2 linked regions of the Ovis aries genome follow. The protein of the gene in region 2 interacts with the protein of the main gene of each other region in a pairwise test. Links are inferred from orthologs where the notes say so. Each region holds a gene or a part of one and is shown on either strand. Other genes may lie near its edges.

Region 1 (3,984 bases), on a different chromosome or scaffold from region 2:
TCCCGGGGGTAGGGGGCGGGCCTAGCCTCTTAGACCGGGCGCCCGGCTATTAGCGGATGCATTGCACAAAACCGGCCCGCGGGAGGCGGGGAGGGACCTGACCCCACCCCACCCCGCCCCCCCCCCCCCCCCCCCGCCCCGCCCCCGAGGCGGAGGACGCCCGCCGGGAGGCGAAGGTCTGGGGGCTCCCGTCCCCGCGCCCCGGTCCCCGCGCGCCCCAGACCCTCACCGTCGAAGTCAATGCGGCCGTCGTTGTTCTTGTCCCCGTCCTTCATCAGGGATTCGAGCTCCTCGTCTGTCACGTGCTCCCCGGAGGCTCGGAAAATCTCCGCCAGCTCCTCGGCGTCGATGTAGCCGTCCGCGTTCCTGCGGGCGTGTAGGGCCTGGGCGCGGGGCTCAGGGCCCGCAGGGGCCAGCCTCCCGCGCCACGCCCCCCGCCTGCACCCCCAACCGCCCCCCCGGAACCTTCGGGCCCTGAGAGCCAGATTCAGACTGCTCCGCGCCTTGGCTGTTCCCAGGGCCCCCGACGCACCTGTCGAAGATGCGGAAACACTCAGCCAGCTCCTCTTCGCTCTTGCCCTTGGCGTCCTCTTTCATCTGGCGCACCATCATGACCAAGAACTCCTCGAAGTCGATGGTGCCGCTGCCTGAGGGGAGCGGGTGGTGAGTGGGCCCAGCCCTGGCTGCCACGCCACCCACCCTCCCACCCCGCCTCCCGAGGGCCGCCGGCTCACCATCCTCATCCACCTCTTCGATGATGGCGTCCAGCTCCTCTTTGGTGGGTGTCTGACCCAGCATCCTCATCACGGTGCCCAGCTCCTTGACGCTGATGTCCCCGCCGCCGTCCGCGTCAAACATGTCGAAGGCGGCCTTGAACTCTGCCAGGGCGAGGAGTGCAGAGAGCCGAGGTGAGCCTGGCGAGACTGTCAGCCTCACATCCACATACTCTCTCCCCACCTGCCCAGACACTCCAGGTTCCCCGGCACCCCGCCTCCCAGCAGCCAGCCTGCCCACCCCTAACTCACCAGCGATCATCTCCTCGCTGAGGTAGGACCGGGCCTCAGCCTGCTGGTCGGTCTGCAGAAAACACGGGCCATCAAAGAGTCAAAGGGACAGAGGGGAGTACATTCCTGCCTTCACCCCGTTATCCTGCACCCCCATTTCTGTACGTGCCCCCTACGTCCCTGCAGAGCAACAGCTTCCAGTTGCCCCACTCTGGACATGCCCCCACAGCACCCAGCCCCACTTTTGAAGAACTGGGGATTATGTCTCACTTGTCTATCAGAGATCAAGTCAGGGCCCCCCACCCCATGACTTTCCGCGAGTCATTAATGTACCTCATTCCCTGATCTCTTCTCAGCAGCTTTTCAGGGATCAGCTGGAATCAGCCGAATGAGAAGGTTTTGTAAAGTGCCAGCATGGTTCCAGCATGATTTCTAGGTTCCCTACCTGCTCATCACACTTGGTACTTTAATAGTGAAGTCACTCAGTCTTGTCCTACTCTTTGCGACCCCGTGGACTGTAGCCTACCAGGCTCCTCTCTCCATGGGATTCTCCAGGCAAGAACACTGAAGTGGGTTGCCATTTCCTTCTCCAGGGGATCTTCCCAACCCAGGGATTGAACCCAGGTCTCCCGCATTGTGGACACTTTAACCTCTGAGCCACCAGGGAAGCCCGGTACTTTAATAGGTGCTCAATAAATGTTTGTGGTCACACAAATAATAATGTGACGGAAAGTTACTGAGTCCTGACCAAGGGTCAGGCCATAGACCAGGCACTGTTTCCCAGGTGGTTCCCAGGTACCACCAAGGAATCAGGCACATTCCCTCCCTCAGAACTTGCAGAGACAGAGGGTGTAAGCTTCCTTCCGCGGACTCAGTCATCAGAGTAGATACCACTCGGTGCTGGGCAGAGTGGGATGTGGGCCTTGTGGGGGTGACAGGTGGCTCTGGAGAGTTCCGATCACATCCAAGCCCAGCCACCCAGCCGGGGCTCTGGACTGAGGCTGGCCCTGAGGGAGTGCTGAAGCATCCTAGGAGTCCTTTGGCTGGCTGGCTGGCTGGCTACTGCCTGTCCTCCCTGTCTCCCTCCTCCCCTTCCCCTCCCCCTCTTCCCCTCCCCCTCCCCAGTCCTGAGCCAGAAGGGCAGACTATTTTTAGTAAGGCATGGGCAACAGCAGCTGCCCTCCGGGTCTAGTTACTCCTTGAAGAGAAGTGGGGAGGGCTCACCGAGGAGAAGCACAGCCTCAAATCCCAGCCCCTCTCCGGGAGGGTGACATCTCTCTAACCCTGCTCTGTCATCTTTGGCCCCTTGGAGCTCTGGGGGTCCTGCTCCTGAGCAGGCCTCCTGTCTTCCAGAGGAGGGCTTTAGCAAGGCTTCCAGCCCATCCCCCCACCACCACTCACTGCCTTGCTGGATAACCCCCTCTCCACCACGAGGGAGACAAGCTAAGGCCCACTCATGGTCCCCTGATCCACACTGCTAGAAGCCTCAGAAGATCTCAGGGAACCAGCAAGCCTAGAGGATGGGCCCCTGGAACGTCCTCACTAGCCGTCCCCTTCCAAGACAAGTCCAAGGCCCTCTTCCAACCTTCCTCCCAGACACCGGGATTCCAGGAGCGTTCAGATTCCATCTTCAAACATCCAAGTGACTGCCCCACCAAGCACCCAGATCTGAGAGATGCCCAGAAGAGCTCCAGTGAAGGCAGAGAGGAAGTCCCTTTGGATCCTTACCCTTACCATTTTGCGTGTCCACCTGGACTCCTTCGCTGTAGGTTACCTTCTCCGTACTCCACCACCCAAAGATGCCCTGGCCCGCTCTAGCCCCTCGGATTTGTAGGGGCATCCTCTCCTCCCACCTCCCTGCTCCCCAGGACCAATGCCCTGGCCAATCAGATCCTGGGGTCAGTGAGCCACCTCCTCCCAGAGTCCTAGCCCATTACCTAATTTAGCCAAGGGCCCTTGCAGAGAAATTTAAGCCTCTGAGCAGGTGGCGAGCCTTGACGTCCTAGATTCTTGTGAGGAGAACCCGCCTTGCTCTGCCACTCCTAGTGAGCCCCCCCACCCCGCCCCCAAGAAGCACACTTGCTCCCAGATGGGTGAGGAAGATCAGGATAGAGGAAAGAGAGGCAACCGTAGTAGCATGGAAGAGCACAAGCCTTGACGTTCAAAACCCAAGATCCAAGTCCTGTCTCTACAAGCTGTGCATACGTGGGCAGGTGGCAATGCCACTCTGAACTTCAGTTTCCTTGTGTGTGAGATGGAGACAGTCATAACCTCCCTCCCAGAGAAACCATGGTAAACAGGAGCCTGGGTTTAAGTCACTGGGCTTGTGCCAAATACTTAAAGTCAGTGCTTTGCAAATGGAGTGTTTTGTCTTTGGATCAGAGACCAGAGGGGGACAGGACAGGATGAGGGGAAATTGACAGCCACAGTTACTGAACCTCTGCGACGTGCTGCACATGTGCTAAGCGTTTTAATCATCTGATCTCACCCAATACTCATCCTGTGAGGTAGCAACTATGGTTATTCCCCTTTTTACCGGGGAGGTTTGTAAATCATAAATCTCTGTAGTCACGTTGGGGATTCTTATTCATCCTGACTGAGGGGAAGTTGGGGCAGACGGTCTTCCAGAGAGACCTGTCTGGAGGGAAAAATGAATAGAGGGGTCCAGGAAACGGGGTGTGCACTTGGAAGAGAAAGAAACATTGAAAGTAGATTCTTCTCTCAAGCTTACCTTGTCCAGGAAAGGAGGTTTGGGGATTCACTCTTTTAGGAGGGGAGGGGACCAGAGGAGGTTTCCCTAAGTAAATGCAGGGACAGCTTGCCCTTTGCTGGAGCTCAGGGAAGATGTCTGGAGGAGCTCAGCTGGCCTCCTGGAGAGTGAAGGGGTGGGTAGATCAAGTCAAATCCAAAGGGAGACCACCCTGAGAATCCACGGCCTCCACCAGGGTGTTGGGATGGGCAACATTCATGGACTCTTATC
Region 2 (3,999 bases):
GTGAATTTTTATGTGCTACCTGCTGAAGCATATTAAAAAGCAGAGACATTACTTTGCCAACAAAGGTCTGTCTAGTTAAGGCTATGGTTTTTCCAGTAGTCATGTATGGATGTGAGAGTTGGACTATAAAGAAAGCTGAGTGCTGAAGAATTGATGGTTTTGAACTGTGATATTGGAGAAGAGTCTTGGGAGTCCCTTGGGTTGCAACCAGTCCATCCTAAAGGAAATCAGTCCTGAATATTCATTGAAAGGATTGATGTTGAAGCTGAAACTCCAATACTTTGGCCACCTGATGCGAAAAGCTGACTCATTTGAAAAGATCCTGATGCTGTGAAAAATTGCAGGCGGGAGGAGAAGGGGACAACAGAGGATGAGATTGTTGGATGGCATCACCAACTCAAGGGGCATGAGTTGAGTAAACTCCGGGAGTTGGTGATGGACTGGTGTGCTGCAGTCCATGGGGTCGCAGAGTCGCACACGACTGAGTGAATGAACTGCTGAAAGCCTGGGCACCCCACACCTGTATCCTCAAGTGAATCAGCAAACTGTACTGATTGGGTAACAGGTTTGGGGCACTGAGGCTGAGCATAACACAGTGAGGAAGTTCCAGCCCTCAAGGAGACTGCAGTTTAGTGAAGGGGCAGGGCCTAGACTCCTGGGTCTGAGGGAGGAGCGCTGGGGGTCTGGACCCCCAGGTCTGAGGGAGGAGGTGTGGGGGGCCTGGACCCCTGGGTCTGAGGGAGGAGGGGTGGGGGCCTGGACCCCCAGGTCTGAGGGAGGAGGGGTGGGGGCCTGGACCCCCAGGTCTGAGGGAGGAGGGGTGTGGGGCCTGGACCCCCAGGTCTGAGGGAGGAGGGGTGGGGGCCTGGACCCCTGGGTCTGAAGGAGGAGGGGTGGGAGGCCTGGACCCCTGGGTCTAAGGGAGGAAGGGTGGGGGGCCTGGACCCCCAGGTCTGAGGGAGGAGGGGTGGGGGGCCTGGACCCCTGGATTTGAGGGAGAAGGGGCTGGATTCCCAGGCCACCAAGGTGAAGGGGTGATCCAGCTGGAGCATGGCCCGCCCCACCCCTCACGCGCCCCGTTATCTCGAATCCTGGGCAGGGGGAGGAGGGGGCAGCAGTATATTTAGTCTCCGTCCTCGCCCTTTATCTCAGTGTCCTCAGTGAGGTTTGAGCAGACCGGACGAGACAAGTCCCAGGGACCTTCAAGGTCACTCCGGACGCTCCCTCCCTGACCCTCCAAGAGCTCCTTGCTCCCGGGGTTCTGCCTCCCTCAGCTCCTGGCCTGAGACCCAGCATGGCGGACCGGTGAGTGAGGACTGGTAACCTGGGCTCTTGAGGCCGGAGGCGGGTGGGGGCTCATCTCCCGGGTCCCTGTGAGGAGTGAGAGTTGCGAGCCTGGACTCCACTCTGAGAAGGAGGTAAGGACAGGAAACCCGGGTGTCCGAATGAGGTGAGAGCTTGGGACTCCAACCCCTAGGAGCCTAGAATGGGGAGCTGGTAGGCCGGAACTGTGGTCAGAAGGGCCTATGGGGTCCCTTGGGACACGGACTAGACAGGACCCAGGCCCACCAGTCACCCGCTTTCTTGGTTTCTCTCCCTCCAGGAGCGGCAGCAGTACGGTGAGAGCGGGCGTGGGCTGGTCCCGCGTGCCCGGGGAGGGGGCTGCGGGAAGGGCTCTGGGGAGAGAGACTGCAGCCCTGGAAGACGGCAGGGAGACGGGTTGGGGAGGGGGGCTCCCCGTCGTGACTCAGCCCCGTTCCCCCAACCCCAGGCGGGGGACACGGTCTCCGCGCCCCCTCCTGTCCGACGCCGCTCGTCAGCCAACTACCGCGCCTACGCCACGGAGCCGCACGCCAAGGTGAGGTCGGGGGCCAGCGAGGGCGCGGGGCCGGTCGGGGGGCGCCTCGCAGGGTTTAGATTCAGGTTCTTAGGGCACTGGCGTCCTGGGGAGGCGGGGCGGAGCCAGGGCCCTCATGGGACTTTGGTGGTGGGCGGAGCCCAAGAGGAGTAAGGCCTTTATGGGACGGGCTTAGCAGAGGGCCGACGTCTGATTGGTGCGAGCTTGAGGATGGGCGGAGTCCCGCCGCCTCCGCACCTGAGAACGCTTAGAGACGGTGGGCGGAGCCTAGCTATAGGCCCCAGATTGGTGGATGGGGATGAGGGGCGTGGCTTCCCGCGGGCTGGAGTTGGAGGAGGGACTTGACTTGAACGGGCGGGATTCTGATACTCCTCCCGCCGTCCTCCGTCATCCTTCCTTGCTGTCTTACCCGGCAGAAAAAGTCTAAGATCTCCGCCTCGAGAAAACTGCAGCTGAAGGTACGGATGAGCCCACGGAAAAGCTAGGTGTCTTCAGGGGGCGGGTCTTGGACGTTGGGGCGGGGCTTCGGGTGAGCGACTGGGCGGGGCCTGAAAAGTTTGGCGGCGGGATGGCCCTGCCAGGGAGGGCTGGGGCCCGGGAATGATGGACATCAACCTGGAGGAGGCAGGTCTCTGGAAGCCGGCCTGGGATTAGAGGGCGGGGCCCGGTGAGGGTGACTACCCCGCAGCGTCCTCATCCCAGCACTGGGCCGCGGTTCCCGGCACCCCCTCCCTAGACCCTGATGCTGCAGATTGCGAAGCAGGAACTGGAGCGGGAGGCCGAGGAGCGGCGAGGAGAGAAGGGGCGCGCTCTGAGCACACGGTGCCAGCCCCTGGAGTTGGCCGGGCTGGGCTTCGCGGAGCTCCAGGTACTGGTTCTAACCAGGGACTCCGGCCCGGCCTAGGCTCCCAGGTTCCTAGTGTCCGATCTTGCGTCCCTTGGGACTCAGGGGTATACTTACGATGCCCCCACTCTTCTGCTCAGGACCTTTGGGCCCAATTTGCCAATTCTCACCCTTAGGAGTTCAGAAATGTGGCCCCCAGCTGCCTACAACCTCAAAACGCAGAGACTGGTTCCTCCAGCCCAACTCCAGTCCAGATTCTCAGAACCTCTGACTTTAGAACCTCTAAAGTTCCCCAGGGTCTGACTTCAATCTACTCCTCCAGGTCCCCAACCCCTCCTCCTTCAGACCCAGGAGTCCAAATCCTGGGGTTTCTCCTCACTACACACACCGCATTCCTCCACCAGGACTTGTGCCGAGAACTCCACGCCCGAGTGGACAAGGTGGATGAGGAGAGATATGACGTGGAGGCGAAAGTCACTAAGAACATCACTGAGGTGGGAGGCACTGGGCAGCCTGGGTCCCTTTGGGGTAGTGTGGGATGATTCAGGCTCTGGTCTCAGCCTGGCCCCTTGCAGCTCCTTACAGCTGCAGACACCAGGAGACGCAGGACAACTCTGTGAACCTGGCAGGGAGAGGCCAGAAGGATGAGCACAATAGGGTCAGGGATGAGCACAAAAGCCAGGAGGGGACAAAGCAGGAAATATGTTTGTGAACATTTGTGGCTGGAGCCTCAAGTGTTGGTAAGTCAGCTCAAGTGTGGGCCAGGGACCTGTGAGATGCATGTAACTGGACTGGGATGTGTCGGTGGCTTTCAGAGATGAGGCCAAGGCAAATTGGGTATCCAATTACAGGATGGGGAGCTTGGATTTCATCCTGAAGGTGGTAGAGGCCTGAACTAGGGAGAGCCTGGCTAGGGATAGGAGAGAAGTGTAGGGTGGAGAAGTGAGGTAAGCAGGAAGAGGAGGGGGGTCTCCACCTCCCTTTATGGCTTCACCCAGATCGCAGATCTGAACCAGAAGATCTTTGACCTTCGGGGCAAGTTTAAGCGGCCCACTCTGCGTAGAGTGCGGATCTCTGCAGATGCCATGATGCAGGCACTGCTGGGCGCCAGGGCTAAGGAGACCTTGGACCTGCGGGCCCACCTCAAGCAGGTGAAGAAGGAGGACACGGAGAAGGTGAGTGTGGCTCAGTCCAGGAAAGGGGGTGCTTGGGGGAGGAGGTAGTGGGCAGCAATCCTAGGGCCCAGCCTGAGGGCGGGTGATATTTGGAGTTGTGGGGAGAAGTATCTGGTAAGGGT

The links. The genes of interacting proteins can lie anywhere in the genome.
Region 1: the proteins of TNNI3 (region 2) and TNNC2 interact in binary tests that used the Homo sapiens proteins (3 or more experiments, as listed by UniProt). The two-hybrid records come from large-scale screens. The link is inferred for Ovis aries from reciprocal best matches to the Homo sapiens genes TNNI3 and TNNC2.

What each region holds. Positions count from the first base shown.
Region 1 is NC_056066.1:74,576,265-74,580,248, forward strand, and holds the start of TNNC2 (troponin C, skeletal muscle), read right to left. Parts: upstream 2,806-3,984; 5' UTR 2,742-2,805; coding exon 2,733-2,741; intron 1,162-2,732; exon of another isoform or gene 1,081-1,161; coding exon of another isoform or gene 1,078-1,080; coding exon 1,026-1,077; intron 879-1,025; coding exon 735-878; intron 648-734; coding exon 533-647; intron 367-532; coding exon 230-366; intron 1-229. UniProt on the Homo sapiens protein: Troponin is the central regulatory protein of striated muscle contraction. Tn consists of three components: Tn-I which is the inhibitor of actomyosin ATPase, Tn-T which contains the binding site for tropomyosin and Tn-C.
Region 2 is NC_056067.1:63,047,530-63,051,528, forward strand, and holds the start of TNNI3 (troponin I, cardiac muscle), read left to right. Parts: upstream 1-1,150; 5' UTR 1,151-1,294; coding exon 1,295-1,305; intron 1,306-1,603; coding exon 1,604-1,619; intron 1,620-1,771; coding exon 1,772-1,858; intron 1,859-2,274; coding exon 2,275-2,316; intron 2,317-2,594; coding exon 2,595-2,726; intron 2,727-3,106; coding exon 3,107-3,196; intron 3,197-3,700; coding exon 3,701-3,877; intron 3,878-3,999. UniProt on the Homo sapiens protein: Troponin I is the inhibitory subunit of troponin, the thin filament regulatory complex which confers calcium-sensitivity to striated muscle actomyosin ATPase activity.